3 linked regions of the Oreochromis niloticus genome follow. The protein of the gene in region 1 interacts with the protein of each later gene in a pairwise test. Links are inferred from orthologs where the notes say so. Each region holds a gene or a part of one and is shown on either strand. Other genes may lie near its edges.

Evidence for each region.
Region 2: the proteins of ehmt2 (region 1) and rd3 interact in binary tests that used the Homo sapiens proteins (3 or more experiments, as listed by UniProt). The two-hybrid records come from large-scale screens. The link is inferred for Oreochromis niloticus from reciprocal best matches to the Homo sapiens genes EHMT2 and RD3.
Region 3: the proteins of ehmt2 (region 1) and plod3 interact in binary tests that used the Homo sapiens proteins (3 or more experiments, as listed by UniProt). The two-hybrid records come from large-scale screens. The link is inferred for Oreochromis niloticus from reciprocal best matches to the Homo sapiens genes EHMT2 and PLOD3.

The regions. Positions count from the first base shown.
Region 1 is NC_031985.2:15,479,854-15,490,555, forward strand, and holds the start of ehmt2 (histone-lysine N-methyltransferase EHMT2), read right to left. Parts: upstream 4,811-10,702; 5' UTR 4,721-4,810; coding exon 4,694-4,720; intron 3,281-4,693; coding exon 3,211-3,280; intron 2,936-3,210; coding exon 2,768-2,935; intron 2,658-2,767; coding exon 2,401-2,657; intron 1,973-2,400; coding exon 1,894-1,972; intron 1,786-1,893; coding exon 1,703-1,785; intron 1,613-1,702; coding exon 1,478-1,612; intron 1,378-1,477; coding exon 1,306-1,377; intron 650-1,305; coding exon 538-649; intron 1-537. Other genes in the region: zinc finger and BTB domain-containing protein 12, read left to right, coding at 9,583-9,786, 9,869-10,063. UniProt on the Homo sapiens protein: Histone methyltransferase that specifically mono- and dimethylates 'Lys-9' of histone H3 (H3K9me1 and H3K9me2, respectively) in euchromatin.
Region 2 is NC_031980.2:13,525,891-13,535,928, reverse strand, and holds the start of rd3 (protein RD3), read left to right. Parts: upstream 1-5,456; 5' UTR 5,457-5,611; intron 5,612-9,654; 5' UTR 9,655-10,038.
Region 3 is NC_031967.2:75,610,005-75,620,512, forward strand, and holds the start of plod3 (multifunctional procollagen lysine hydroxylase and glycosyltransferase LH3), read left to right. Parts: upstream 1-6,446; 5' UTR 6,447-6,587; coding exon 6,588-6,672; intron 6,673-10,508. UniProt on the Homo sapiens protein: Multifunctional enzyme that catalyzes a series of essential post-translational modifications on Lys residues in procollagen. Plays a redundant role in catalyzing the formation of hydroxylysine residues in -Xaa-Lys-Gly- sequences in collagens.

The sequences.
Region 1 (10,702 bases):
CACTCATGCTACACAGCTTTTAATGCTTTACAACACTGAAATTTTAAAAGCCACTTAGGCCTTTTCTCACAGATCTATGCATTATCTGACAGCTGTCTTAGATAATTTCTATGATCTTTTTAACTTTTCCCTTAATGCCAATGTGTCACAAATATGCAACACAAAATGTTTCTCTGGCTTCTTGCTTCATGTTCTTCATGCTTCATTTCCACTAATTGACAGGTTGGTGGTTTGTGTCACAACTTTTTCAGTATGCAAATGTCCTTGGGCAAGATACTGACTCTAAATCCTTCCACATGCATGCATCGATGTGTATTATAAAGGACTGAAGACCTCTATGCATATAAAAGTGATGTATGAATGTGTGCGGTGCATTGTTTTTAATTGTGAATAATTTGCTTTTTTTAAGAGCCTGGATTTTTCAAAATCTTCTGAAAAAAAAAAATCATTCTTTTTGCAAGGAACGTGTTTCAGGTTACCAATCTCTTTGACAGATGAGTGTGGTTCAGAAAGTAGGAAGTAGATGACATCACTCACCTCCCTCCGTCTCCACGACGTCAGCCGCGTTTCTCTCTTTGTCCTGATCGGACAGTGGCCACGAAGACTCCTCGCTCTCTCTGACCACTCTCTGTGTTTTAGACTCTGAACTCTGCAAATAAAAAATAAATAAAAAATAAACATCTGAATATAAAAATATAACATTTGTGAAATAGTGTGGTTTTTAAGTAGTGGCTGATTATTTTAAAAGTCCAACCAAAGTTTGAATTTTTGAGGTTGTTAAAGTTTCAAGCTAAAAGACTCCAGTTTATACGAAGAGCAGCCAATCAGAAGAAAGCTAACTTAAAGGGAGATAAAACACCTTGCTGGTAGATATAATGAAGAGCTGCATCCATGGATTCTCTTATAGTGTGCAAAATGACTTTTATAGAGTCCAAGAACAAATATATGGGATTGAAAATAAGCACAAAACGTCTACCTTAAAAGTACAAATTCCTCGGTTTACTGACAAGACAGCAACTTTAAACTTGAAGTGTCTTAGTCTAATGACACATAATGAGTGTGTCAGCATCTTCGTGGTCCAACTCCTTAATAATGATCCCGCTGCAACTTACTGATGGCTTATTTGAGCTAAAGACATTTGTCACGACATGTGGATAACCCTGCATATCTAGAGTACATGCATGGCCATGCTGGCTAGAGTCACGTGTACAGGTGTAAACAGAGTAATAAAACAGGAAGTTAATAGAAAAATGAGGAAAGGAGTATTTAACAAGAAAGCAAATATCAAGCCAATAAGCTACTCACGTGATCTGAGGTGTTTACTGGCCTCTCTGTGTCTTTAGCTTGCTGTCTTGTTTCTCCTTCACCATCTTCAAACTGTAAAGCACAAAAAAAGCTTAGTTTACTTTAGCTTAAAGTTCAGGTGATAAACACACTGTAGCAGTGTAATGTGGGTTTACATTTGATGGCTTCAAACCTTTTCAGAATCTCGCCTGGACGGACTAGAAATCTGAATTCTTTCGCCTACTTCTTCCTCGGACTTCCCCACAGAGCTGATGCTCTTTCCGGGTGCAGTTTCAGACTCTGCTTTTTTATGGAATGACCTTCCTTCCTGAAAGTAGGATGAGAGACAGATATAAAAGGGACCACAAACAACTGTTATTAAAACATCTGCAAAAAACCCCCAAAACAAGTGTCTCACCTCATTATGAGCGTTATCGGAAACATTTTCAGATCTCTCAGGTGTGCCGTCTGATAAAGGATCCAGCCTCCTCCTCTTTGCAACTTTAGAGGCAAAACAACGTGATGCAAACCATGACAAGGCTTAGTTTTAAAGTAAAGCAGTAGTTAATGCTCATTTAACTCTTTTACTGTGAGTTTAGACCTACTGACCAGGTTCAGAGTGAGAAGAAAGACTGGCTGAAGATCCTGAAGGAGTCACAGATGCAACAGGTGTCTCAATTTGACTGATCTGAGGAACAAAATTAGTCAAGCGTGTTTGTGGGTATATTAATGTCATTTTAAATGCAATTTAAGACCAAACTTGTGATGGAAGCAGAAACCGAAAGAACAAATATCCTTTTGATCCTTTCCAAGTTTAGGAACACTGTCCAGATATGCCTATCAATCTGGAAAGGAACAAAAATATCATTGTTTTCCTAAATGATATCCAATTTCCCCAAGTTTTAAACCCTGTTCGACACACAGCAGGGATTTCTCCACAGGCATTTAAATTCTTGACAGCTTTAGGTCATTTTGAAAGGTTTAAAGCAATTTTTAAAACACAATAATTTAAAATAAGCACCTTTAACAACTGGTAGAAATCTAGATAATAAATCATGAAAACCCATATATTTACCAAATATGATTGATACCAAACAGGAGTAGCTCCTCTCTCACCTGCCCTGGTGGAGGCCTGTTCATCGTCTTTCGCGCCCGATGGATCTTGGGTGGTGCAGGGGAGACAGATGGAGAAGAAGCAGCTGTTGTAGAGGAAGAAGAGGAGGATGATGGAGGACCAGGCGGAAGGACAGATTTACTGCTACCAGGCCCTGAAACGCTCATCTTTGCTCGGCCAGGAGACAATGTCGAAGATGTGGAAGGAGACGACGACAATGACGAAGAGGTCGTCGAAAGAAGGGAATTTGCTGTGTGACCTGACAAATTAAAGCAAAAGGGATTATCTCCTCAGTTTGTAAACTAAGTCTGATTAAATCAACGAAATCAACTCAGAATTTCGACAGCAGCTAATGCAATCTGAGCTCACCTGCAGCAGCAGGTTTGTTCTGGGGGGAGGCGGCAGGGGACCATTGTTCTCCTTCCTCTCTGACTGTGGAAGCATCCTTCTCGGGCTGCTGGGACGACAACAGTGATGACATAACACCCATGGGCTCCGTCTTGGTGGCAGCAGCAGATGAGGTGAAGGCTGCATTATCTGAGGAATATCCGGAGTGCAAGAATTTTAAAGTTTATCAAGGAGAAATAATTTCTTGGGCATAATGCTACAATCTGCCGCTTGATGGTAGTGCAATGATGTGCAGCATGTCATAAAGCTCAAAACATCTCAGTCTGATTTCTTTAATATGACAATTCACTGTACTCATATGAGATCAAATGGCATTCACAGGTCATTTAATTGCAAACCAATGCAATGTCTTTCAATATATTTCAAATATTAACATTATCTGCATAAACCAGCTGGTGAATTACCTTCCTTTGTTTGACTTGACCCAGCTAATGACTCCTCTGATGTTTTTGACTCGTCATTTTCATGGTGCTCCTGGTGGACAAAACAAGAAACAAGTGAAACGAGTAAAACTGATAACAGAACAGGCTCTTATTTTAATGATTTAATGAAATGATTGCAGTTCAACCAATCATTGGTAGAATAAATACACAAAGAAATTATATTGTATATTTGCATGCATGCAAAATATACAGTTGCTTGAAAAAGTATTGGCCCCCTTCCTTTATTTTTGTATGTCTGTCACACTTAAATGTTTCAGATCAAACAAATTTAATAATAAGACAAAGATAACACGAGCAAACACAAAATGCAGTTTCTAAATGAAGCTGTTTGTTATTAAGGGAAAAAAAAATCAAAACCCAAATGGCCCTGTGTGAAAAAGGTATTGGCCCCTAAACCTAATAACTCCTTGTAGCGCTGTGGAGGAATTTTAGCCCACTCAGCTTTGCAGAATTGTTGTAATTCAGCCACAATGGAGGGTTTTCGAGCATGAACCGCCTTTTTAATGTCTTGCCACAACAGCTCAATTGGATTCAGCTACAGGACTTTGACAGCCTTTTTCACACCAGTGTACATGTAAAAGCATGCACTCTAGAGGTCTAAATGTGGATCCACTACACTCATTGTATCTCTGGCCTGGTAATATTTTTGGGCCTAGCAAGTTCTCTTGATAGAAACGCTTCCTACTGACAAATAACACAGGACCTCAACCAGGGGCAGCAGGACAAGGATATGAGGATACTGTGAGCATCATTCTCAAAAGTGTTGTGTCTGTTCATTTGACAGTACAATCAAAACTGTCACTAATGTCATTCTAAAGTTATTTTAGGTAAAAAAATAAAACCCACTACTTTCGGCCTTCACATCTCCAAAATAAACCCGTCGGCCAATAGGTGAAAATTTCTTTCATGTTACATCAACTGCCGCCATGAGTCAGTAATTCCATTCATGCTTTTTACACGACCCAAGAAAAACCCCTTACTCCAACAGTACACCAAAAAGAAACGTGAATTTAAAACGGGATTTTAAACTCCGACTGCTTAAAATCCTAATTTCTTTTCCTGTGAATTTCTCGTTGGTGCAGCATTTACTTTAAAAAAAAAGCTCCTAACTAGCAACTACGAATAAAAACATATCCTAAAAAACAGATCGAGGTGCAATACTTGCTATACAGAGGATTGCTACAAAGGTTACTGGTCAACAAATACAAAACAGCAGCAAAACATCATCTGGATAAGAGTAACCCTGCAGGTAACACAAAACTGTTACAGGCTAACACTGCTAGCAGTGCAGCCTAGGTTACAATAAAAAAAGCTATTATAATCGACATGCAAAGTCAAGAGGAGCTTGGCAGTATGCAGTATCGGTAAACTGGGGAGTTTAAAGGTAGACGAATAGACGTAAATTCCTTTAGCATGCAGTTTTCAGCTGCAGTACGTTAGCTACCTTTGTCGTTGTCTCAGATGCCGACATGTTTCCCAGTGACCGTCAACGTATGTGAGCGTGCTGCGTCACGGCCGGAGCCCCGCCCCCTCGATGGATGGTGGGAGGGGGGTGGTGCCCATAAATTTTTTTAAAACTCGCTGATCAGAAATCAGCGTACGTGCTGTCGTTTTACGGCTGACCGCGAGGCGAAGTCGCTTGCGAAAACAGACTCAAAGTCAGCTAAGCGGCGAAATACGGGGCGGTTTGTGTTTGTTGTCACGAGGTATGCCTCCTACACCCCCCTCCGAAAAAAATAAAGGGGCCGAAAAGTAAACAGAAACCCAGGCAGAAGCTGGTGTCGTCTGGAGGAATGAACAGACAGCGCTCCCGTTCGGCTAGCATCTCCTCATTTAATGGTCACTTCATTTAAAGAACCCCGATTTGCTTTCTGGAGAGCCCGCAAGGCATTCAAGGAGAGGAGAGGCGAAGGTGAGCAGGCGACAAAGTTTGACAATAACTGAGGGGGTTTTGTTCGTTTGACTGCTGCTGGATAGAAGAAGAGACGACACGAAAAGGGAGCTGTTAGTGAGTGGCTAACGTTAGCTAGCTGGACTGGAATGAAAAGAGGAAAAAAACGTGTGTTATAGTCAGCTTATAACCACCTTTACTAGTTTATTATAGGCTCCGCTACTGCTGAAACGCACGAAACGGTAATCTTTTTTAATATCCGCTTTTCAAGCTCAAATGTTAGCCAGTCTAACTTTTCAGGGTCTGTAAGTCCTAAACATGACATGGATAAGCATGGATATAATTAGCCTGTTTATATCACATCAGTTAGTGGATTCCATTAATATAACATGTCACTAAAGTGAGCTAGCATTATATAATTTCCTCCCATAGGTCCTCTTAACCTTAGTTGGTGTTATACCAAAATTGAAAAACACTGATTTTTTTTTTTTCAATTGTCTTTGTCAGTTTGATTTGCGGCTACCATGGATCTTATTTTTTGTTGGCCACTAGAAGCATTCTTAATCTACATATTTATTGTGCTAATTGACCAGTTTTCATCCTTTATTTTGTTGTCATTATCTTGAGAGACAGTATTATGCAAAAGTCTTGAGCCACCCGTTATTTCTTTATAGGAGCCAGGCTTTCTTGTCATTTGTATTAAAGTGGTCTTGAGCAATAGTTCTCCGGGCTTTCTGAAATGCTCTTTAAAATATTTATTAGGATGTTGTCTTCTTTTTTTCACTCACTTTCAGTCCAGTCCTTGTATCTGAACATTTTGAGAGACAGACAGACTGAATTTTCGGAAGAATCTGAATCGCTGACTTAAAATATGAACATGAAACATAGAAAATGTAAACTGTATATTAAAAAAAGGCACCCAAAGTGCAATATTACATTTAAATAGTTTTTTTTAAACCCCATTATGTACGGTATAGACAAGGTATTACAAGTGAAAATAGGTGAGGTGTGATAAGGAAGAGATATTCGTTGGCTTTAGGTAGGAATGATTATGAGGTCCATCATGGTGGAGTGAAAAAGCTCCTGTGGCTGTCCAGCACAAGATGGAGAGGGTGTGAAGGATTGGCCAATACTGACCATAACTGGGACAGTATCCTCCTTTCTGAAACCTCTGTCAGAGACTCCACACCCACAACATTACTGGCTTCAGTTTATTGAGTCTGTTGTTATCTGCTACTCTCTGTCTGCTGACAGACTTTTTTGCGTCTGTTTGTTAAGCAACTCAAGACTGACCTATGACTCATTCGAGCATTTAAAAAAGGCTCCTAACTTAAGGGATGAACCATTGTTGTGTCTACACATAACAGACAACTTCACAAAGAACCAATTTAAAATTTTATCTTGAGGCATTTTGTTACCTGCCTGTTGCTTTAACACATAATTTATTCCTGTTTCTTTTTAGTTGAATCTATGAAAAGTACCAAAAATAACACTTTCAAAGATATAAAATGGTACTTTTGCATGAACTAGGTGTTCCTAAAGAGTTACTAGCTGAAGACTTGGCAAAGCTTGGCTTGGTGTGCAGTGTGTCCTTAAAAATTGATTAAGCTAGACACAGAGGTCCAAAGAAGGAAAAAAAACAATCTGCAGCTGTTGGACAGTATCTGAAAGTCCGACAAAGACCTGACAGAGGACCCGAGAGATGCATTTGACCCCCCAGTTGATTCATCTACTGTTCAGGAATTATATCAGTGGGTAGGTGGCTGTAAAGAAGCCATTAGTAAGCCTGAAGTATTCCTGAAGACTACTTAAATAAATGACAAGAAAACCTGCTTAAGAGAGTTCAGGGTGGTCTTACCAAATGTTGACTTTCAAGCTTGTTAGAATGTACAAGCTCTGTTTTTCCCTTTTTTATTGCATTTCCTTGGAAGTAGGGCTGCTCGATTATGGCAAAAATGATAATCACGATTATTTTCACTGAAATTGAGATCTCGATTATTTGACGATATTTATTTAACAATAACAATGTATTGAATAATGGCTTTAAAGATTGTCAAAAATAATATAAAATAGTGTGCAAATACTGATTACAGTGCAAATGTTTGCAATATAAAAAATAAATGAAAAATGTAAACATCTATGTTTAGTGAACTTCAAAATACTGCACAATATTTGATCCACGTCTGACTCCGCGAACCCATAATGTTTCCACACCACTGAAGTCGTTTTACCTCTCTTTTCAACCAACGGCATTCTTTCTTCAGCAGCCATTATCCTCTCTCCAAATAACTTCTGCTTAGCTTTCCGAGCTTTTCGAGCTTCCCTCGGGTCCTCTTAATTGTTGTGACGCGTGTTCGAAACGCAGAGAGGTGCGCTCGATTTGCCACACGGAGCAGCGCGAGAGTAAAGCACGAGGGAGGTGCTAAAAACCGGCTCAGTCATTTTTAATGATCGTTGAAAACCCAGATCGTAATCGAGATTAAAATTCGATTAATTGAGCAGCCCTACTTGGAAGTTTGCATACATTTTAATAAATCGCTGCACCCATTTCTCATTTTCCTAGCAAAATATAAAGAAATCAGGGGAGACTCAAGACTTTTGTACAATACTATATTTTATAAATCATTTTGACAACTGTTAGCTCAGTCTTACAGAAAAGGAGTTTACTCACATTAGTTAGATTTTGTGAAGATAAGAAGGTATGAATCAGACAATTATTTGCCAAATTAATGGTTTTAATGGTCATGTGGCATTTTAATTTCTTTCTCTTACACCAATAATGACAGATCTAAGCATGAAACAGTTACCCAACAAAAGAAGGAATATTGACAAGTAAGTATCAGAACATTTATTTTTTTTTCCACCTTAAATAAAAACCGTAAGATCTATAGAAAAAATACTGGCTGATCACTATTGGAGAATGTTTGGCCTTTTGTTAGGCAAAAAAACAATCAATGAAATGAATTATTTTGATAACAGATTAATAATTAATCCTAGTGTCAGTGGAGCAGATGATTAACAATCACCACTTTGATGTCTTCGTTTCATTTCCCCTTTAAAGATTTGTTATTCAAACAAACCATCAGCTGATTCCTGTTCTGCAGCGCTTTGTTCTTTTTAGGAAGCTTCCTTTATTAGGCAATAGGCAGTATTGCGTTGTCCTTGTTTGATCTCATTATCTGTAACACTTTCCACATTTGTTACACACTTTGAGACCCGAAGGTGTGTGTGAATTTTATGAAATGTGCAGCTGAAGGAAATGCTTTTTGTCACTGTCAGTTCTCTATAAACAAAATATCTGCAGAAAAAGCCAGTCTATATTTTATTTAGAAAAAAAAAATACATAAAATACTCCTATAATTGGATCACATTTCAGCTATCCAATAATAAAGCCAGCAATATAAAAGAGCATCTTTAATGAGTGTGTCTTTGAAGTCAGAGAAAAGTTTCCGGGAACAGGCACATTAAAAAAAACCATAGACTTTACCTGATTACTTAAAAGTATTGAAGGATATCCAGTTAGGTTGAAAGAGCGAGCAATGCAAGTGTCTGTCAGGAAGTTATCATAAAAAGCAGCTGGGCTGAGGCCAGATCAGAGGTGCAGGAGACGATAACCCCGAAGGGCAAGCAGTATAGATCCATGCCTTCATGTTTATACAAAATTGTTACCTACCATCCAAATCCAGAGATCAAGACTCAAAAGGCCAGGCAGCATTTTTCAAATCTTCTGTTTTCCATTTTTGGCACTCAGTGTGGTCTGCTGCTTCGAGGTTTGGCATGTTTGTTCACAGGTGCTCTTCTGTATACCTTGGTTGTAACATTATTTGATTTACTGTTGCCTTCCTGTGAGCTTGTTGCTGATCTACTGGGATTTTCCCAAAACCAGCCTGTCTGGCACCCACAGCCATGACACATTCAAAGTCACTTAAATCACCTTTCTTCCCATTCTGATGCTCAATTTGAACTTTACTAAAGTGTGTTGACCATTTCTACATGTCTAAATGTGTTTAGTTTCTGCTATATGATTGGCAGATTAGATAAGTAAAAAAGTTTTAATCTTTCTGTGAAATCCATTGAATCATCTTCCTTTTAACCTCTGTGCATTTAGTACATATATATATATGCTCACATTAACAAATAATAGGAGTAATCTGAGGCATGTGTTTGCTGGCACAGTGAGAACTCCAGCACAAGCTGGAAACCGAAATCCTCTGCTGGGATTTCGGTTTCCAAATCTTTGCTCCCAGCATTGACCTTGTAGTGTGGACACTTGAGTATAAACAGAATACAAACCTGTGATATGATATCCTTTCTTAAACCCTCATCACATTACACTGTGGGAGTCTAATAAGTGATTTGTGTTGTTAATCTTTTATGAAAGGCTCACCTGTACGTATTTAAAGAAGTGAAATCACCTACAGATTCTTGTTTCTCCTCAGAAGATGGAGTTGGTGTGTTTCCGGCTCCCGGGACATGGGGACATGACCCTGAAGCACATGAATTCACTGAGATTTCGCCAGCATTTCTGCGACATCACTATCGTGGCCAGTAACAACCAGACGTTCAGGGGACATAAGGTGGTGCTGGCTGCCTGCTCACCCTTCCTGAGAGATCAGTTCCTCCTCAACCCGTCGTCCAGGCTTCAGGTAGGCCGACGTCAGCACACGTGCCATTATGGCTCCTATTCAGAGTAAATGAAGCTCTTCTGTGTTCCTGATTTTTCTCCAGGTGTCAATGCTGTACAGCTCCACAGTGGTGTGTGATCTGCTTCAGTCTTGCTACACTGGTATCCTGCAGTTCAAGCCAGAGGAGATCGTAAACTACCTGACGGCTGCCAGCTACCTTCAGATGGAGCACATTGTAGAGCGCTGCAGAGGAGCTCTGGAGAAATATGTGCAGCTGAAGAACCCCGGTCCATTGAAGGTCAGTCAGTAAAGATTAAATTATATTTCTTCCTGCTTTCTTACCTGGAGTTTAATTATTAATATTTATTTAGTAATTTAGCACGTAAAGCAGTCCAACTATAATTTTTTTATTTTCTGATTACAGGTTTTTCAACTGGAAATCTTGCACCTTTTTCACCCTAAGCTGTGTGCACATTCTCAGCACTTGCAAAACTTAGAATGATAAAGTTTTACAAGATTTTCTGTAAACCTGTTTTCCTTTTTTGTGCACCCGAAGGGAGAGAGTATGTACTCGGTTCAGTTTATTTATCTCTGCTTTTTGGCACTCTAGCATCCACAGTTTTCAAGATATAATTTTCAAATTTTGTGAGATGGTAGATACCAATAACAGCTCGAGCTGTTTAATTTAGGTGAAAATCACGTTCAGCTGTTATAGCTGTCTGCCAATATCAAGGTCAAGGTCACACAAAATGTGAAAATCAGTAAAAACTTTACATTACCCACAATTTTTTAATGGGTCGTCATCAAACTTCACAGCAATATACTAGGCCTTGGGGGACATGAGTACCTAGATTGGGTTAACATTTAACCTTGAGTGTCATTGTAAGCACCTAAGGTTAAATTCCAAGCAACTATATTGAGTAGTATATCACGTGAA
Region 2 (10,038 bases), on another chromosome or scaffold:
TTACACAATCTTAGCCGCGCTTCCTTTTCTCCTGACGTTCTCCGCCTCCAGCTCACAGATTTGTGATGATTCACAAACATTATCTTTGGAAACAAACGCACAGGTACGAGCTGCTGTTGGACACCGCGTACCTCCCTCCTCCCCCGACTGACTCACGCGCAGGCTATCATCACCATGTGTGAGAATCAGCACGACTGGAAGGACTATCCCTGACTGAAGAGGCTTTAATATGCTCCCCTCCTACATACACACACACACACACACACAAACACACACACACACACACACACACACAGATTCAGTGAATTCCACATTTTGCTATATTTCAAACCCAGTTTAAAATTGACTTTGTTCAATATTCGACAGCAACAAAAAAAAAAACAATCAAAGATGAGACTGAAATATCCCGTTCATGTAAAAACCACTCCATGTACCAGCACTCCGGCATATTATAGTCTTGTACATCTCATTTATTCTTGAAGGGCATTAAGTCTTTTCAATTATTTATGATGAAAGGCATTCTGGGGGGAAAATGACTGCAGTGTCCTCCATTTGGAGAAGTCACTGCAGATCTGGACTTTAACACTTTCATGGTAAGGATAAATTAAAAGCTGAACTACCAATGACAACAGAGTACACCCTTTTATCCTCGAATTTGTATTGAAGTGTTGTTCTCTTTGTTGGTATTTTCATGTACGCTGGTTAACGTAATGATAACCAATTATTGTTAAATTATTCAATCATTGAATCAGTAATAACCAAATTTATTGGATTTGGTTACACAGAAGAAGACTAGAACCAACCACAGTCTTGCTCAGTGTGGCTGGGGTCAGACCCAGTGGTCTCTATGAGTAACATCCACAGTTAGTTTGTTGAGATGAGGAACTTTTAGAAAAAAAATCCCACCAATCAGCCGACCTTCTATAAGCAAGCACTTGGTGACAGGGGGAAGGAAAAGCTCCCCTTTTAACAGGAAGAACCAGAATCAGATGGAGGGGCAGCCGTCTGCTGTGACTGGTTGGGCGTGACATACTCCACCAGTCTGACTTCTAAAGGTACCTGACAGCCAACGGGGAGTTAGCCAAAAGGTGCCGAGGACCGTAGGTTGGGCTGAAGATTTAGAACAAGTTTTTCTATCAGGAGATCTTGGAGTAGTCCAATCTGATCCCAACAAATCTCGTCGGAGGCCTAAAAACTGAAGTTCACCAGCGCTCTCCATCCAACCTGAGGGAGCTTGTTTCTTTTTGACTGCACAATAAAGACACCAAAGTCAGTTCACTGAACATTGATGCTAAAGACATTATTTCAAACAAACCCGCAGTGTATCTTTGACGGCTTAGAAAATAACCATCAGTACTTTCAGCTGACTAGAAACAGTATTTATTCAAAGCACCAGGTCCAAGTTCTTTGTGTTTTTCAGTACTAAGCTGGTATTAGCTGGTATTATTCATTGATCAGAGTTATAGTGATAACAGAAATGTTCCCTCTCATTTTCCACATTTTGTGCAACAATGTTCGCTCAGTTGTGAGAGGAAATAAACCACAACAGAGATAAGTGAAAAGGGTCAAAGCTATATAATAATAATTTAATTTATGGATGTTATTATTATCAATCAAATGTAGATACATTTATTGTGCGACATTGCTTTTCTGAAAACAAAGCTTTCAGAAATGCTTTCCCCACATGACATTACAAGTGAAAGCCTTTCATTTCACTTTCATTTCATTAGAAAAGTACATGAGGCTAACTTTCTCTGCCAGATAAACAACACTTTATCCTCACGATGCTGAGCAACATCACTGTCAGTGCGGCTGAGACAAACAGGGACTGTTTGCAGTGTTTGGAAACACAGACTTGAATATAGACTAAATCAATTAGCCAATAATTTGCCAACACCCAGGCTTAAGAGAGATCATTCTGCACAGAAAGTGAACTCCAGTTTTCCTGGAGGATTTTATTCTTTCATTTCATTACATTTCTACCCATCTGCCATTGCAATATGGCCGTGACAGCCAGCAAATCACGCCTCAGGGTGGCCATGCCAAGCTGACTAGCCGACTGTAAGCTGGCAGGCCGATCTCAGTGCAGTCCAGTGAACAGGGAACGCTGGGATTTGTTTTACATAACGTGTTTTTGTAAAGTATGTCATCACTAGTCTTGTTCGTGTTTTTTGGACATGTTGGGGACAGAGCTGCTTTGAGAGCTTGATGTAGATGGTTAAAGGTGTCACTTTCAGCACGCCCACACCTCTGCCGTTCCCCTCAGCTGTAACCAGGTGTTTTGACACTTTGTTTTTCAGCCCACTTTAGTGCTTTTCACGCACAGCTTTTTTTTCTTAACGTCACAGATTCAAACAGCAGTTTGACAGTCTACAAGTCCCTGGTGTGCAAAAAAAAAGGATAATGGAGCCAGATGTTTCTCTCAAGAGATGATGAGGAAAAGAAAAATGATTATTTTGCTTGAATTTGGATGGAAAAGTGATGTGGAAAATGATTTTATATGTGTCTAGTGTATGTTTTACCATGTTAATCTTTGTACTGTCTTGTCAGTCAATGCAGGTTTAAATAGTTTAGCACTTACAGGTATCAGTGGGTCTGGCAAGAAGCTGTGTTTTTACCTTTGTAGTATTTTTAATACAGTTACCTGACAAGTGTTGCTTCCTGTGCGGTTATTTGTCCTAACAGACCACCTAAAACATCAGTCCTCAAGATTAAGTAAGTGAAATTTTATTTTTTCTTACTCGGCACTAATTAGCAGGTTCACATGTCTGTGACAATAATAGTAAGAAAAAACAAAACAAGACAGCATGGCGGTGGCCGTAGTACTAAAATTAAGATTTCAAAGCCAAGTTTCACAAACCTACAGGTGATGTCAATTTAGGTATTTCCATCTTTTATATACAGTACTGTGCAAAATCATGAGCCATCCCTCATTTCCTTATATTTTGCTAAGAAAATGGGAACAATTTATTGAAATGTGCAAACATGCACCAAAAATTTAAGTAATTAAGGTACAAAACAGATTTTGTACAGTTCTAATTTGATATTACCTCCTTCAACACAGTCAGTCTTGTCTATACTTCAGTAGTCTTCAGGAATAATTCTCTACTTTGGATGTCGGCTGCCTTTTGTTCCATTTTTGTCAAGATGATCTGACTCTGCTCTGAGGAGGCCAGTCCATGACTGATTCCCATTTGTTCCTTGTCCAGGTTTCGTATTTATTTATTTTGAGACACTGCACATAATGTGGAGATCCCAAATATCTGTCCAAAAGCTCATTGAAAATCACCTTGTTGTACAAAAATATAGTTTTATGCCTGTCAAACTTGACATTTTTCATTTCATTCATTTGTTACCGTTTTCTAAGAAATGGTAACAAATGTAAGAAATGGTAACAAAAGTAAGAAATGGTAACAAATGATGCTGCACAGAGATGCTTAGTAACAAAGTGCGATAATATAAGATAATATTTAATATTCGTTCTTTTGCTAAGTCATCAATTATGTATAGACACAACAGTGGTTCATCCCTGGAGTTAGATGCCTTTTTTAAAACCCTTTTTTTAGGTGGAAGACTTTTGCACAATGGTGTTAAAGAGCTGTACAGTTAAAGTTAAGAAATACCTCTGCATGTTTCCTGAAGGTTACCATAAATGCAGAGCTGACATTTGCATCAAAGGACTGGTGCTAGACCACCAGTTCAAGTAATCCTCTAAATTTGTAATTTTGCACTGGAATATAAATAAAAAAAATATTTCATTAAATACTTGTATGATGTATCTTGTACATGTAAACGCTTTTTTTTGCTTGATTTTAAAGTTTCTTTATGGCTTCTTTTCCACCTCCTCTGACTGCGATGATCTATGAGAACATTCATGTCGCAGCACAGATTCACTGACCTTAGTACACACTCAACAATCCACACACCCCACAGAGGCTTTTCTAGTAAAATGGGCCGCTGGACAAAAGCCAATGAAAATGGGGATGTCAGCATTTTGGAGTTTTTTTTTTTTCCTCAGTCTCTGCTCTCATGTGATCTGCCCTGCATTTCCTTCCCCATTGTCACAGCAGAGGGCAGTTTGGGACATTGCTGTCAGGCCAATTTCACTTCCAGGCAGAAGTCTGATAACATGTCCTTTCTTCCAGGGCTTTAGGGTTACAAAATAATCAAAAGTTTGAGTCGAACAATGAAGGAGGTGGATTGAATAAAAGAAACAACGAAACACCATGATAGCAGGACCAAGGCCCTCTGATAAGTGGATTTTTCTGCATCGCAGTTCTTCGTTACTTTTCTTGCCTTTGGTTTCCAGAAACTCTTATCAAATCCTCCATTCATTTAAAAATCTTTTCACAGTGAAGAACCTGCTTTTAAAATTTACAACAAAAATATGCTTCAAAATATCAAAAAAAGAAACAACACATGCTGCCATCCAGATTACGCCTTCTTTAATGGGATGCTTTGTTTATTTTAAGTGAGACAATAACCAAAAGGATTCAGCATGTACTTTTCATTCATTCAGCATAAAATCATGAATATTTAGGAGCTGAAATCCAATGGAATTAAATGGAAATGGAAACTTCTAGATGACACCTTCTTTCTTTTTAAGTATTTTTTTTTCAAACTGTTGTTTAACCTGGAGAAAAAAAAAAAATCATGTTTAAATGCCTTCTCCAAGAAAGACATCAGTTCAGTCAGAAGAAGTGGCAAAAATACACACAAATAAATCAAGACTGAGATTCAAAAGCTTCCAGCTTATAGCACTTCATTGGTTAATTAAGTTAAGTTGCATTTTTATCAGCTTGACACAATCTGGTCATTCTCTTCTGATCGCTCCAGGCAGAAGAAGGTACAAAGGAACTTTAAGATTCTTGGGACCGAAGACAACCGCTTCCCATACTTTTCTGACAGATGCAGGTCACTAAGTAAGATGACCTTATTAGTAAGGATATGATTATATGAAGTCTTTAGAAGGACAAAGTAGACCAACCATCCATAACATTCAGCACACAGAGGTGAGAAGGGCTTTAAAACTCACAAATGATGAACCAGAGATGTATATGACATGTTTGTGAGCGCTGTGGATGCTACAGGTGGATTTTGTCATCTGTGGACAGAGCCAGAGTTACTGTCTCAAACATATATTGAACTATTCCTTTTAATAATCGAAAATGTGTTTAAAAGGTTTTATCCACTAAACCTTTGCTGAAGTTAGAGTTTGGGGGCATTTTCACACCAGTAAATAAAGGTCAGGGCTCAAGGTCAGATTATGAGACCAGAGTTTAGATTGTCACTTTTTTTCCCCCTTGGGAGACAATACAAGACTGTGGCGAGATCAAACAGCTTTGAGAACTCACAAGTTGGATATTTATCACGGAACAGAGAAAATATCTGAAAAAAAAGAGACAAAAAGTCAGTGTCAGAGGAACAGACCTCTGACGTCAGTGCCAGTGTTTTGTGCTCGGCTCATCATGTGACTCTTACTCAGTTAACTTCAGTGTGGAGCGCACAAAGCCCGACGCGTGTGGAAAAGAGGCTGACAATGAAACAAAGCTCACGTTCAGCACCGTGTCTGGCCATGACACTTCACTTTAATGCGCAACCAGCTCTGAAGGTTAGTGCGACTTTTCTGCACACGTCCCTCCGCTAACAGATAACACCTAACAGATAAATATCTGCTGAAGTCCTCCTCGCCCCTTTCATTTGTGTTGATAGTTCAGGAATGTGTTCATGCATGTGGAATAATGTTGGTTCAGCAGGTGAGGCTGCCTGTTGTTTGTTTGATCCAACTTTTCAGGCTTTTCATCTCGAGAATGTCAAGCATGAGTTCTCAAAACAAAACAGCTTGCTCCCTCTGCACCCCTTTTTCTCCACCCAAAACCTGTGGTGACTATTTTACCAGCAAACCCCACGTTCTTGCAGAGATAAAGAAATAAACGAGTTTATGCGGGGTGTATATGAAGCCTCTTGGCAGCTAACGTGGTCAGCTTCTTCCCCCTTGTGGTGGGTTTGGGTATTGCAAAAGCATGAGGCTCTAAGAGGAACTTAATCATCTGGTTTCATTATGATTTTAAGTAGATTGCTAAAAGGCTAAATACTAAATTAGATGCAGGCCACTTTAGCACAAAGGAAGTTCAAAGCATTACAAAGTATTTAAATGCAGATTTTAACATGGATAAAACTGAGTGAGAACTTGACTGGATTTATGGAAATCCCAGTATATACATGAAAATGACCAGAGTGCGTCCAGCTGCCTCATGCCTCACATGATGTCTATTGTTGTTCACACCTTCTCAGTATTGTTTTCCAGGCTTCCTGCGATCAATCCCCTGCTTGTGTCACTCTGACTCACTGTCTACATTTGCCGTGTCCTGTTCACCTTATGGAGCTTAAGAGGTTTATTTATCATGGTCAGCTGTAGAATGAAATCACCTTGTTCACTCTGAGTAATCAAAGCAAATTTACTAGTACAGCAAAAATAGATTTTTGATGCTTGATGCTGAGCTGTTTGCAGTGAAGTGCCGCGTGTTGAAATAATAACATATTGGAGCACGAAGAGTACATTTACAAGGAACAGTTTAGGCCTGAAAAATGATCAGTGTAAAAACGGGAAAGACCAGCAGAAGGTTTTTGGTTTATCTGTTTTTTAGGATGGGCGTAGGTGAAGGGATTAGCACCTTTGGGCCCGGGATTTGAATCTGAGTGGAGTTTACATATTTTCCCCATGTCTGTGCTGGTTCAAACTGGACTTCCTCCCACAGTTCAAAAGCATGTCGGTTAGGTTAACTGGTGATTCCAAATAGACTATGAGTGTGAATGGTTGTGTTTCTCGGCCCTGAAATGGACTGGCAACCTATCCAGGGTATAACCTGCTTCTGGCTCTATGACAGCTAAAATAAAGTGTAAAAAAACAACCCTCTGCATTTGATATTTTTCACTGTTTTTTCACTGTTTCACTTTACTACAGAGATTCCTTATATTATTGTGACCAGTAGCAGCACAGTAAACAAGAGTAGCCCACATATTTAGGGCACATATTTAAAACAACAACAATATTATTTGCGTAGCACTTTAAAAAAACACCCAGTTACAAAGTGCTTCACAGTTTGGATAAAACAACACATTAAAATAAGCCTGCAAAGCTCTCATTAGGACCTCATAGCTACCAGCACAGTACCAGTCTTCATGCTAAAATAAGCATGATGAATGAATTATGCAAAATGTGGAATGATTTCTTTTTAAATGCACATCCTGACTGGTTTTGATGGACTTTTTCTGATCGTTTAATGCAAAACATGCTTGGGCAGTCACGGAAACCCATTTAAGAGCCTATTTTCCCAGAAAAACACCACGCTGTCCCACTGCAATAATTTTCACCCACCTGGTAATTGTTTGTGATTCAGTGCAAATGCAGACAGTGTGATTCTAACCAGTATGCTACCCAGAAGTGAGATGCGTCAGATCACACATCAAATCTGCCAAAGCGTCCAAATGAACTCAGCGCCAGTGACGCACTGTCCGAGCCCCGTCGCCGCTCACTCTGAGTTTAACATGGGGCGGATGGAGGGAATCACTTTAGAGGATTAAAACTGTCATCTGGTTGGATTACAGCGAGCGCTTACCTGCCCATCTGTCACCTTCAAACTGTGGCAGACAGACTACCTTTGGATAGTGGAGGCCTCAATCCAGCCAGACAGACTGAAACCATGACACAATTGTGTTGGATGTTTGGAAGTATGCAGTGCCTTCATCCTGTGTTATATGACATCTTCTATTTGTAAAGAAGTGCCCGAAAACTCAGTGCATGTGCAGCTTTTCATTGAAAACCCACCTTGGATTCATTTTTAATAAAAACTCAAGGGAAATTAGGCAGTATAGAGACTTGGACTGATCAATATCACTTAATCATGAGCTGTAGGTGACACAGGATCTTTAGGTTGCAGGTTATTATTATTAAACAGATTAGACCCATGTACAGAATGAAAATGGTCAAAGTGCCCACTTAACTAAAGAGCTACATTAACACTTTTAGATTACATTACATGTACATGAATACATCAATCAGATAGATGTTCACAACCTGGCAACCTGAATGCTGATATTTTCCCCCCTCTTTTCGTTTAGCATTAATCATTCAGGAAATAAGATGGGAATCAAGAGATTTTAATAACCATGGTAAAGGTAATGTTTGATAATACAGCCCATGACTAAGGGCGTAATTCCCCTGTAACTAAATGTATTTTATTTGAAATTACAGTATAATAATATTTAACTACAAATACTTAATTTAGGCACACTGGAATTAGGGGGTACTCCGGTTTCCTCCCACAGTCCAAAGACATGCAGTTAGTGGGGATAGGTTAATTGGAAACTCTAAATTGCCCATAGTTGTGAATGTGAGTGCGAATGGTTGTCTATGTCTATGTGTTAGCCCCGAGACAGACTGGCGACCTGTACAGGGTGTACCCTGCCTCTTGCCCCAAGACAGCTGGGATAGGCTCCAGCTTCCTCGCGACCCTGAAAAGGATAAGCGGCAGAGAGTGGATGGATGGAATAAGGGGGTAACAAGTCAGGTTTGTTACCCCCTTACCTCCAAGCCCTGAAAGGTACAGTGTGCTAACAGTGTAAGGTGGGAAAATATTGGTTGTTTTTCTGTGAAATGACTGTGTACTTAAAATTACTTACATTATAATTTGTCCCCCTTTCTGCATAATACCCAGAATTTAGGCATTACATAAAGTTACTTACATTACAATTAAGTATGAAGAACGTTTTCCACTACGTTTGCACTCCTTAAAATTATGCAGCATTTGAAATTATGTACAGAATAATTTACATCTCCTTTCCTGTCATATACCTTAAGCTATACAATATTTCAAATTAATCAGGCACTACTTAAAATGAGGTACACATTATAATTACTTAAAGATTAATTAAATTTTCTTGCAATAATAATAATAATTTTTGCTTCCTGTAAAAATCTGATCTATTACCCCTTATTCTAATGCACCTACCTTTAAGTATTTGTAGATAAATATAATTGCATTGTAATTTAAAATATAATACCCTGATAAAGTGTAAAGTGTAAAGTGTGTTGTGTTAGTCCCCGAAGGGAAATTACTCCTCTGCATTTAACCCATTCACCCAGTGAAGCAGTGGGCAGCCACCAATGCAGCGCCCGGGGAGCAGTGTGTAGGGACGGTACCTTGCTCAGGGGTACCTCAGGGTAGCCGTTCAGTGGAGTCGAACCCCCGACCTTCCGATCATGGGGCAGACACTCTACCTACTGAGCAATTTAATTACAGGAGAATTAAGTGACAGGCTGTATTATAAAGTGCTACCAATTATTGTTCATCATTCCAGTGAAGGAGCCGTATATATTTTCTAAAAGTGTAGAGTCTATGCACTTTAAACATAGTTTTGCTTGGTGTAATAATCTGTCCTGTTTAAAAAAATTCCCTTCGTAACTTATTTACAGAAAAATACTTCCTCTTCATTTTACAGCGCCTTCACAAAAACGCTACAGAAACACAACGAAGTGCTGCAGCATGTCATACCTCTTTCATATGATGTGTGTGCTGACTGCAGATTTAAGACAGACTTGAATCATGTGAACTTTTGTTCTCCTTGTTCGCACTGTCTTTATTTCTCTTCCAGGAAACTGGTGAGTGGAGCTGACCTGGTTAGAGATGCACCACACCTGATCAGGCAGGGCTCAGGAGACTGTGGCTGAGGTCCAATCCAGCCAATGCACCCTCCCCCTACACACTTTCACTCTATCTGCACGGAGGAATGGTGCCCACAGTGCAGCTCTATCTGTCTTCAGCTGCCTGGCCGACTGAAAAAGCTCTTTGTGTTTTATATTCATACTCTTACGCAGAGACAGCATACTTATTCACATGACAGATTTACTTTCTTACTTTAACACTGCATCATTATTTAGATTGTTATGTAGTTTTGAGGCACATTGTGGCATGCATTTAAGAAAGAACAGTTTCATGAGTTTTGAGCCTTCTTCCTGAGCTCAGCTCATGTTAAAAT
Region 3 (10,508 bases), on another chromosome or scaffold:
TAAGCATTTATCCTAAAATATTTTATTTTATAACTGAAATTTGAGTTTTGTAGAAAAACAACAACAAAAATAAGCTCTCTTTTGTAGAAGTACCTGCCGTTGACCCGAGGGGAAGTTGAAGAGGTAAGATGTAAAAAAGAGGTAAAAATGTACATGAAAGCATGTTTAGGTCAGCACTCCATCACTGTACTTCTTGGTCAAACAACTCTTACACATCCTGGTGGTGTGTTTGGGGTCATTGTCCTGTTGAAAAATAAATGATGGTCCAACTAAACCAGATGGGATTGCATGTCACTGCAGTATGGTTGCCACAGGTAGAAGTATCAAAAAGTTTCAAAGTTGACAGTATCAAAAATTGAGGGCAAACAGAACAAGCAAGGCCCATGCTGGTTCAGCGTGCCCTCAGTTTTGAATAAATCCCCAACAGTGTCACCAGCACACACCATCACACCTCCTCCTCCATACTTCATGGTGGGAACCATGCATGCAGAGACCATACCTTTTCTGCATCACACAAAGACACAGTGGGTGGAACCAAAGATCTCAAATTTGGACTTATCCGGCCAAAGTACAGATTTCCGCTTGTGTTTCAAAGCCCAAACAAATCTCTTCAGCTTGTTGCTTTTCCTTACTAGTGATTTTTATCTTCTTTTTTTGGTTTCATCTCTATCTATCTATATAGACATATATTTGTAAGAGAACATATATCTGTAAGGAGGACTACCAGCAATGGTGTGTGAAAACTTCGTGAAGACTTACAGAAAACATTTGACATCTGTCATTGCCAACAAAGTATTGAAATGAACTTTTGTTACTGAACAAATACTTACTTTCCACCATAATTTGCAAATACAAAAATTCTTTAAAAATCTGACAATGTGATTTTAATTTTTTTCTCATGTTGTCTCTCATAGTTGAGGAATACCTGTGATGAAAATTACAGGCCTCTCTCATCTTTTTTTTCTGTCATTTAAGTGGGGGAACTTGCACAATTGGTGGTTGACTAAATATTATACTAATATATACAGTGGGTTGCAAAAGTATTCGGCCCCCTTGAACTTTTCCACATTTTGTCACATTACAGCCACAAACATGAATCAATTTTATTGGAATTCCAGGTGAAAGACCAACACAAAGTGGTGTACACGTGAGAAGTGGAACGAAAATCATACATGATTCCAAACATTTTTTACAAATAAATAACTGAAAAGTGGGGTGTGCGTAATTATTCAGCCCCCTGAGTCAATACTTTGTAGAACCACCTTTTGCTGCAATTACAGCTGCCAGTCTTTTAGGGTATGTCTCTACCAGCTTTGCACATCTACAGACTGAAATCCTTGCCCATTCTTCTTTGCAAAACAGCTCCAGCTCAGTCAGATTAGATGGACAGCGTTTGTGAACAGCAGTTTTCAGATCTTGCCTTATCTACAAAGTATTGACTCAGGGGGCTGAATAATTATGCGCACTCCACTTTTCAGTTATTTATTTGTAAAAACCTACTGCAACTGAACAGCAGGCTGGTTTCTTTCCCCTCTCTGTTGTCTACATTTGCAGATCCAAAACCCACCAACAGCAACAAGAAGCAGAAAAACTGTTAGACCGATGATCAGTCCAACAGATTTAGGGTCCTTCCCTTCATCCTCTGTGTGTCCTCCTGTCTGACCTGCAGGTGAGAAACAGGTGTGAGGTGTCAGCTGTCAGGTAGGTGATGAGTGAAGAACAGAACAGAATCCATTTCCTCTTCAAACTGCTGTCAGACATTATCTACTGCACTCTGATCACATCACTCAGACCAGCTGCTTTCTACAAAGTCTCATCAACAACATCTTTAGAAACAAACATCAACAACCAGGAAGCAGCTTCACCTCTGATCACACACACACTCAACTCTACTCACTCAGCTTTTAACCTCTTAACCACCGTCTGGTCTCCAGAGACACACTTATGGTTATAGTTTCACCGAGTACATTTTTTAGAAACCAGAATTTGTGGTTTAATGAATCAGTTTGGCCTTGCAGTTCTTCTCTCTAAGAGTTTTAGCTCTAACTTTAATTTGGTGGAAACCTGAAATACACTGAGATGTTAAAGTTTTTTAAAACTAGTTTTAAAACTATTAGAAAATTGCTGGCATAAAAACATCTTGAAAGAAATATTATACAGAAACAAGTACTAATATTCCCACAAAAAAGAGTGTAGCATGAAAATGGATCACACATACACTCTACTCACTCACCTAGAGGATCAACATCACTCAGGTTGGTGCTGTTGATGAGCTTCCATGAGCATGTTTCATTCATGTAGACCCAACACTCATATATTCCAGGGTCATTATTCATCACATTCTTCAGAATCAAATTCCATAATGTAGCATTCATGAAAGAAAAAACCCAGTTTTGAAAAGATGGATCCTTCTGAATGAACGTGACCATCACGTAATAAACACACATATTTCTCCACCATTGGTTTTATCCACTTTACAAGAGTCATGACTAGGGATGGGTATCGTTTAGGTTTTATCCGATACCGGTGCCAAACCGGTACTTTTGAAACGGTGCCGGTGCTTAAACGGTGCTTAAACGGTGCTCAAACCAGTGCTTAAAGAATGGAGAACACAAAATTGGTCCAAAACCCTCTCATGTTTAATTGTTTTCCACTTTTTCTTTGGTCATTTTAGCCTTTTTGGCCAGGGTGAAGGGAGTATCTGCCATCAAACAAGAAGACAGTAACTACGACGGTGTTTGCTAGTTCACCTTACATGCATTAATGTAATAACGTGGTTAGCGTACTCAACGTTAATTACACACGAACAACATGAAGCTACTCACGCAGAGAAGAACGGCTGCTGCTGCCATCATCATCCTCATCATTTCTGCTACACTGGCAGGGCTAGGGGCCAGGACTCTCCTCTTCGGGTTTTTGGGGGATGTTGCTAACTCCGGGTCCGATAACAGGCACCACACCCGCAGTAGATGTGCACGGTGTGAGGTCTCGCAGCAAGCTATCAAACACAGCGCATTTCTCGGCTTTAAAAAACCCCGCTATGCGTCGCCAGGTGTTTCATCAGATTTGAGGTGTTACCTCCTTTGACAGTATCACAGTATCAGCTTAAAGCACTTGTTGCAGGCTGCTGAGTTTGCATCTTTTGCTGTGAAGTACAGCCAGACTTTTGACCGCTTCTCCTTGGACATTTTTAATCTGTAGCTCTGCTCTAAAAGAACGCGCGTACCTGGCCCCGGCTACTATCCTCGGAAATGTAAAATGATTGGCTAGAATTGGCTCAGGAAAAAAAAAAGCACCGAAATAAAGCACCGAAATGTGCGCTGCTTTTCGGTCTGGTTACTACCGTTTATGTCAGAACCGGTGCCACACCGGTACCCATCCCTAGTCATGACTATATTGTCTGGAGCTTGACATAGCAGAGTGACATTTTGTCCTGTTTCAGCAGAGATGTTTGTCTGAAGAAAATGAAAAGGGAAACAACACAAAGCAGAACGGTTAAATTAACTGTTCACTTCCACAGCAGCCCACCACCGTGAGGCTCACTGCTCAGTAGTATCAGACAGGTATAGTAAACAATGGGCAGAAGAGTTAACTCACTTGAACCTGGGCGCACACCTGTTGCTGACAGACATTTACTTAATCAATACAATGATAACTCTTTGGAGCATCTTGTTTTTATTCTAATTAGGCTTGCACTTTTTCCTCCTTCAGTTATCACAGCTTCTGGTGATAGGATACTGACTGCCTTTAATTTATCAAAAAAAAAAAAATAGCCTGCTATATCTTTTCCTAATTGCTTTTTCTTGATTTGATGGAAAACGTTACGACCACAGGGATATAGATTTGTATTTGCTCGAGGATTAGGCATTTTGGTTTTTCAAAACAGTAGGGCTGCGCAGCATCTCTGTGAAGAGCGCTGTGTAGGCGCTGTTTAAATGCCGTTGAGTGTTGTAAGCCGGTTTAAGCAGATTTCATTACTCTCCGTCCAAAATTGACTGAACATCTGTGTTAAAGTTGCCAAAGAAAGAGTAAAAATGATAATAACTTGAACTCCGTAAGCGACATATAACCTTAATGTCCCTCCTGCCTCCAAATGCAGAGCTATAAAATTTTACTTCAGATCAATAATCTAAAAACAAGATTGTGTGACTTTAATCCTTATGAGTTTAGCATTAGCATTAGCATTAGCATTCCCATATCGATCGAGAAATAAGAATTACTTACTGTTGTTTTGGAATCAGAGATTGCTTTTTCAATCATTTTGAGCAACAAAAACAAACAAAAAAAAACTTCACTGTCACTTTCCCAGAATCTGCAAGTTATTTCAAAACCTTTCTACCGCTCTCTATAAACAAAATGCTGGAAGAGACAGAGCATCGACCCTGTCACATGATGGTGGGGGAGGGGATGGAGGATAGTGATGTGTCGGTCGGAAACGAAACGGCTCTTAGAGCCGGATCTTTGAAGTGAACAACGCGAGCCGTGTTTTTTTTTCTCTCCCATCCTCTCTCTTTTTTCTTTTCTTTTTTCGCTTCACTCTGCACGTGAGCTTTGTGCTTTGCGCTGAGCAGAGAGGGGAGGGGCGGTAGTTACACTCACAGTTGCACAGGAACAGAGCGGGAGGGAAAGAGAGAGAAAGAGAGCCAGGGACAACAACAAGAGACAACAACATCACATTAAAAAGGTATAGTTATTATTATTATTATAACAGTAATCATCCACAACTATTTTCAGTTGCGAATGATAAAGTATTCAAAAAGTTTATTCATGCAGTGAATCCTATGCAATTCCAAGGAGGAAAAGACTCGCCCAAAAATCATCCCAGGCCTATATGACAGAGAATGTGCATCTTCTTTTTGTTTAGCAATGTGTTTTGGAGTTTGCATGTACTTTGTCTCTACAGGCCACCATATATATTTATATATAAACATATATAAATAAAACCACTTTTTTTTAAACATTATTAATTCCTTTTGTGTATAATTTTATATTGTTGCTGATAATAAATTAATTAAAGCAACAAAACAACCTGAAGAGCCGGTTGGGAGCCGAAAGAGCCAGTTCTCTAAAAAGAGCCGGAATTCCCATCACTAATGGGGGAGTGGTCCTATCTCAGTTGTCATATGGCAACCGGGAAAGGTCACCAGTCTGTCACAGAATTTACAATATACTGAATAATATTGACAATTACAGTGATATTTGACATTATATAGCAGGATGTTTTGTTAAAACATCCTGCTATATGTTCCAGACTTCAGCATGGTCACTTCCCACTAGTTAATGCAGGGATTACTGTGATATGACTGAAATCTGTTTAATAAAAATTAAAAATACAATAACTAAATGTTTGATTTTTGTAATTGCTAACAAAGTGTGGCTACTGTCTCTTTCTCCAGCTCTTTACTTTCATATCTTGAGTAAAGAGTTAAAGAGTTAAAGAGTACAAAGAGTTAAATACTGTCTTTAAACTAAAATAGAATAGATTTAATTGTCAATGTTACAAGAACAAGGAAACACAGCACAAATTTCGCCTCCGTGGGATCAATAAAGTCTTATCTTATCTTATCTTATTCCTGGTCCCAGTTGATTAACACTGTGTATTGTTGGGCCCCTTGTTGTGACACTGTGGTGTAGATTGTAGCTTTATTAAATCCTGAGACACACAGAAAGAAACCAGTGATCTAGAGTTTAGAACATCCCATACATCCACCCTCTAATAAGGTATGCTTTTAGCTTACTAGATGGTAAATGTAGAATAAATGCTGGATTGCTGTATTTACAGAACAGTTATGATTGCAGTCTCTTCTCCCAGCTCTTTACTTTTATATTTTGAGTCAATTATTTGGGAGAAAGTGATTCTTTTCTTTTCTTTTCTTTTTTTTTTTCTTTCTTTTTTTTTTTTTTTTACAAAAGAGCTAAAGAAAAACGATTTTGAAAGTTTATTCATGCAGTGAATGCTATGTATGCTGAATGTCAGTAAAAGAACTCACAGTATTAATATTTCATTAGGAAAATGTTAATTGTTTCTTAAATAAATTATGTAAATAAATACTAAATTATGATTACATTTTGGGTCTAATTATAATGATTAAACATCATTATAATTGCAGACATGCAACTTTAAAGCTATATAAAACCTCTGCCGACGTACGCTCTCTCTCCGTTTTTCCATGTCCTCGCTATGTCTCTCCCTCTCCCTCCCTCTCCTGAAAGCCTCAGACGTGGCAAAGATTCACGTACTCCATTTTTCACGAACTTTCTGTGGTTTAGCCCACCGAAAAACGGAGAGAAAAAAAGTTCCCATCTGTCTGCCTCTTATTGGCTGGTGGATTTCCGACTATCTGCGCTGATTGGATACCAGCTCTGTCCGTCAAAGCTGTATCGCGCCATTTCTGCTCTCATTGGCTGGATAGCTTTTTGCGGTTTCTGTCGACTTTATCTTAAAAGTCGGAAAAGGTGACGAGTATCGCGAGAGTTGAGTGCCGACTGAGCGGTGAACGTGAAGAGAGAGGGCTGGGGAGAGAGGAGAAAGAGTGGACTAAAGCTACGGCCTACAGTCTAAAGGGAGCCGTTTCCAAACATCCAACATGTCCTCCTGTTTTCTTCTCTGCTTGCTGTCTCTCGCCTTTTTCCAGGGCGCCGTGTGGGCCGAACAGCGGAAGCTTTCTCCAGGTAAGACCGCTGTGCGGGGTCCCCTGGCCGGCCAGGCGGACCACCGTAACCCGCTGGAGCTGTGGAGCTCCGGGTGGTTTACGGAAAGGCTGCTCATCACGTCACAAACCTATTCACTATTTTCAGAGTTTATTCCGTTATTCTGCTGCTGGGTGAGTTTAGGAAGGATGTTTATTAATGATTAAAACCGTTAGCGCCACAGGACCGTTAGCAAACTTTAACAGGGGTCCCTGCTCCTTTTATAACCTCATATACTCTTATTGTAATCCCTACAGGTTATTAATGATTCCCTAAACTCTGGAAAATCTTAATGCGCAACTTCGTTTCTACTGCGGATACACAGTGTGGTTAACATGTATCAGTTTTAATCAAAGTAACACAAAGGTACGAAGTGCTTCACATATAGGATAAAATTCAAATATTAAAGAAAGTTAGACATCCCCACAAACAGACACACATTCACGCAGGGATGCTTACATCCAGCAGTAAAGATTACAAATCACTGATCAACCCACTCAAACGAGGTTTTACAGCTTCAAATGAAAGCTGGGACTTTTAAAATAGTATGATTGTTTTGATTTAATATTTTACAATCATATAAGAATAAAGAATTTTAGTTAACTGCATTTAAATAAGTCAAACATTTATTGTAAGTGGATTAAATTAGTTTTAAAAAGCCACTGTGGGAGCCCACAGCATGTTTATGTAGCAGGATTAATGATTTCCATCATGAACCTCTCACGATGATGTTTTACACAGAATAAACGTTTTTAAAAAGAATAACCGGTTTAAATCTGATCTGTGTTTTCCATATAGTCCTGTCTTTGGTGCCCCTGTGAGGTTTGTTTGCTCAGCTGTGGTTTGTATTCATGTTTATATTACTTATGTGATGCGTTTTTAAAGGGAGCAGAGTGAGACATGGGACACTGAGGAGGAGATTTCCTTCTTGTTGTAAACCTTTTTTAAAAAGTTAACAGACACTCGGATAGTAACAGAAAAAAATAACTGAACAAATGAGGTTTTTAAATATTGGACTGAAATCTGAAGCCATTTTCACTCATTCATGGGATCCAGTTTAAAGACTTATTTTGCTTTATCCTGAGATTAATTCATTCATCAAATCAATAATCAGTTTTACAGGTTCTTCCTCCTTCAGGATCTTTGAGTATGGCTGCTTGTTTGTAGTTGAGACACAGACGCTACGTCCAGATGAACAGAATCAACTTTTGGAGATTGAGACACAGTCAAACCGAAGTCCTGTGCACTTTCCTCATATTTTTGGTCTTTTGATACATAAAAGTGAATTCTTTGCTTGCACTTTTATCCCAGTCCTGATGCTTGTTCTTCAGAGGAACACCAGGATTGTTATATTTTAGTAAAACCCCTTTTTTGTATATATAAAGAAGCTGTTAAATTGTTAATAATAGATAATAAGCTGGTGTTTTAGCTCATCTGAATGCTTCAGATATCTGAGCTCACAATGAAGTGTCTCAGTTTTTCTCAGGTTCTATGGCACACAACACAGCTCAGCTGAAGACGTATTTCCCTAAAACACCTCAGACAATCACAGACACAGTGAAGTTAACCCCGAGAGGCTGTACCTCTGTCACAAAGTGAATTTGTGAACCAGTGAGAACATCTTACTTAAACTCGCCTTCTTCCTCTTCCTCTGGGAGGTCGTTGTATATCTGAGCACTTCCTCCATGTTGTGCTCAGCGTCTCTGAATCTGACTTATGACACTGAGCATGACGAGTTTCTATTGGCTGAACTTAACAGAGTTGGTTCTCGTTATAACTGCAGTCACAGAGTTTGTGTTTCATCAGTTTTTATTTATTTTTTACATTTCTGTTAGAGACTTTTATAGGAGTCATTTACAATGTTGACTCTTCTTCATAACTGCTGCAGATCTCTGTGGCTGTTAGTTAATCACAGTTTGTAGGCTTCTGTTTGTCCACCTGCTTTTTAAGCACTGATCATAGATTGTGGATCAGATTAAGATGTGTCCATGGGCCCAAGATGTTAATTTGGGGATCTCTCCGAGGCTCTGTGTTGTCATGTCTTCTGACATGGTGCTCCCATCAGGCTGGAAGATGCTCCTGGCAGGTTGGAAGAAGGTGGTTTTTAGTGTGGTCAGTCCTTAGAAAGCTGAACAGGGATCAGCTCAGAGCCCAGATGAGGCCGTATGGATCTCCATCAGCTGGGGTTTGTGCCACTGATGAAAATCCCAGCTGAAGTCTGTCGCATGTGGAACTTGAACTGCAGGTTTCCGGTGTGAACCCCTCCAGTCTGCAAAATGGAAAATCCTTTGTGTACATGGAAATGGTCGGTAGTAGGACTGCCACAAACGATTATTTTGATAGTCGACTAGTCACCGATTATTTTTGCGATTAGTCGACTAATCAGATCATGCATCCATTGGATGTAAAACGTACAGCTTATTGCACCAGCATGCATCTGCTCTTATACAACTATCATTAGCTTACAGCTTTAAGTGTTTAAGGTATGTGCTAACTAAACATAAAGACAAGATGAGAGTTTATTAAATTTTAATGAAATTTGCAGGTTGTTTAGGTGAAGTTTAATAAATTCAGCCGTCTGCTCCTTGCTAGGTAAAATATAACAGGACACCGGAGTATATTCTCGAGCATCTCACACTTCTGATAATCAGTTGTCTGCTTGACGTTTATTCAGCTGTGTAAAAACTAGAACTTTAATCTCAGCCAAACTGATTTACTCGAAACAAATAAAATACTGACAAAAGCAAAACGATAACATTTTTAAGTTATATAAGTGACTTATATATCATGTTTAACCCGAGTAGTGAAAGACGCCCAGAAAAAAATGTCTGGAAAAAAAAAATGTCCAGATAGGTTTAACTTCAAACACCTGAACCCAGCAGGTAGTTCTGAACAGTCTGTAGGCCTGCATGCTTGCATGTGTGAGGCTCTGAACAGTTCTGCTTGTTAACACTAGCACAGTAACATTATGCAAACATTATTTGGACAAACATTAAATGTTTATGTTGATATAAACTTCATGTATTTCCTTCATATGGGCCATTCCTGTGAAACGTTTCCTCCTGACCCCCTCACAATCAGCTGTAGTACCTTCATAGTATGAACTGCTTGTGTTTAAACCGATAACGTGGAAATGTCCTGAACTTATATAGCTAAGAGGGCTATAAAACGAGTAAAAAGTGCCACATTTGGGCCAATAGTTCTTTGTACTTTGAGAGCCTGTAACTCTGAAAACACTCAGGTAGAAAATTTTCTGGCTTCATTAGAAGAAGAAAATCCCCAGTATTCGATGTTTAAGTGTCCTACTTGCCCTAAAAAACATTTGATCAAAGCTGAGAAAGAATCCAAAATGTGTTTATGATGTGCACGCTGTGCAAACTGATGTGAAAATGAAAGGAATGAGCCCACTCAGATCTGCTGCTTGGATCTGTAACATTCTCCAAGGCTCCACATTACTGCCCACATCTCCAACCTGGTGCTACAGATTCAAATCAAGGAATGGAAAAAGGAAGTCTCCTGAAGCCATTTTTATAGTTTCATCATGCGTGTCAGGAACATATTTCCATGAGAGTCGGCAAACACACAAACATCTTTGTAAGGAGCGAAATATGAATTCAGCTCATATTTGGTTATGGAAATGATTCAGTATAAACATGTAGGGAAGACCTGGGCAGAGGTCACTTTATGAATCGTTTGTCAGGATGTGACTCGGTTTCGCTGGCGCACACCTGCTTTTGTCGTTCATTCATTAGGAAAGCAGCGTGATGAGGAAAGAGACAACAAACCCCCACAGCTGTGCGAGTACTGTCGGGGGGGTT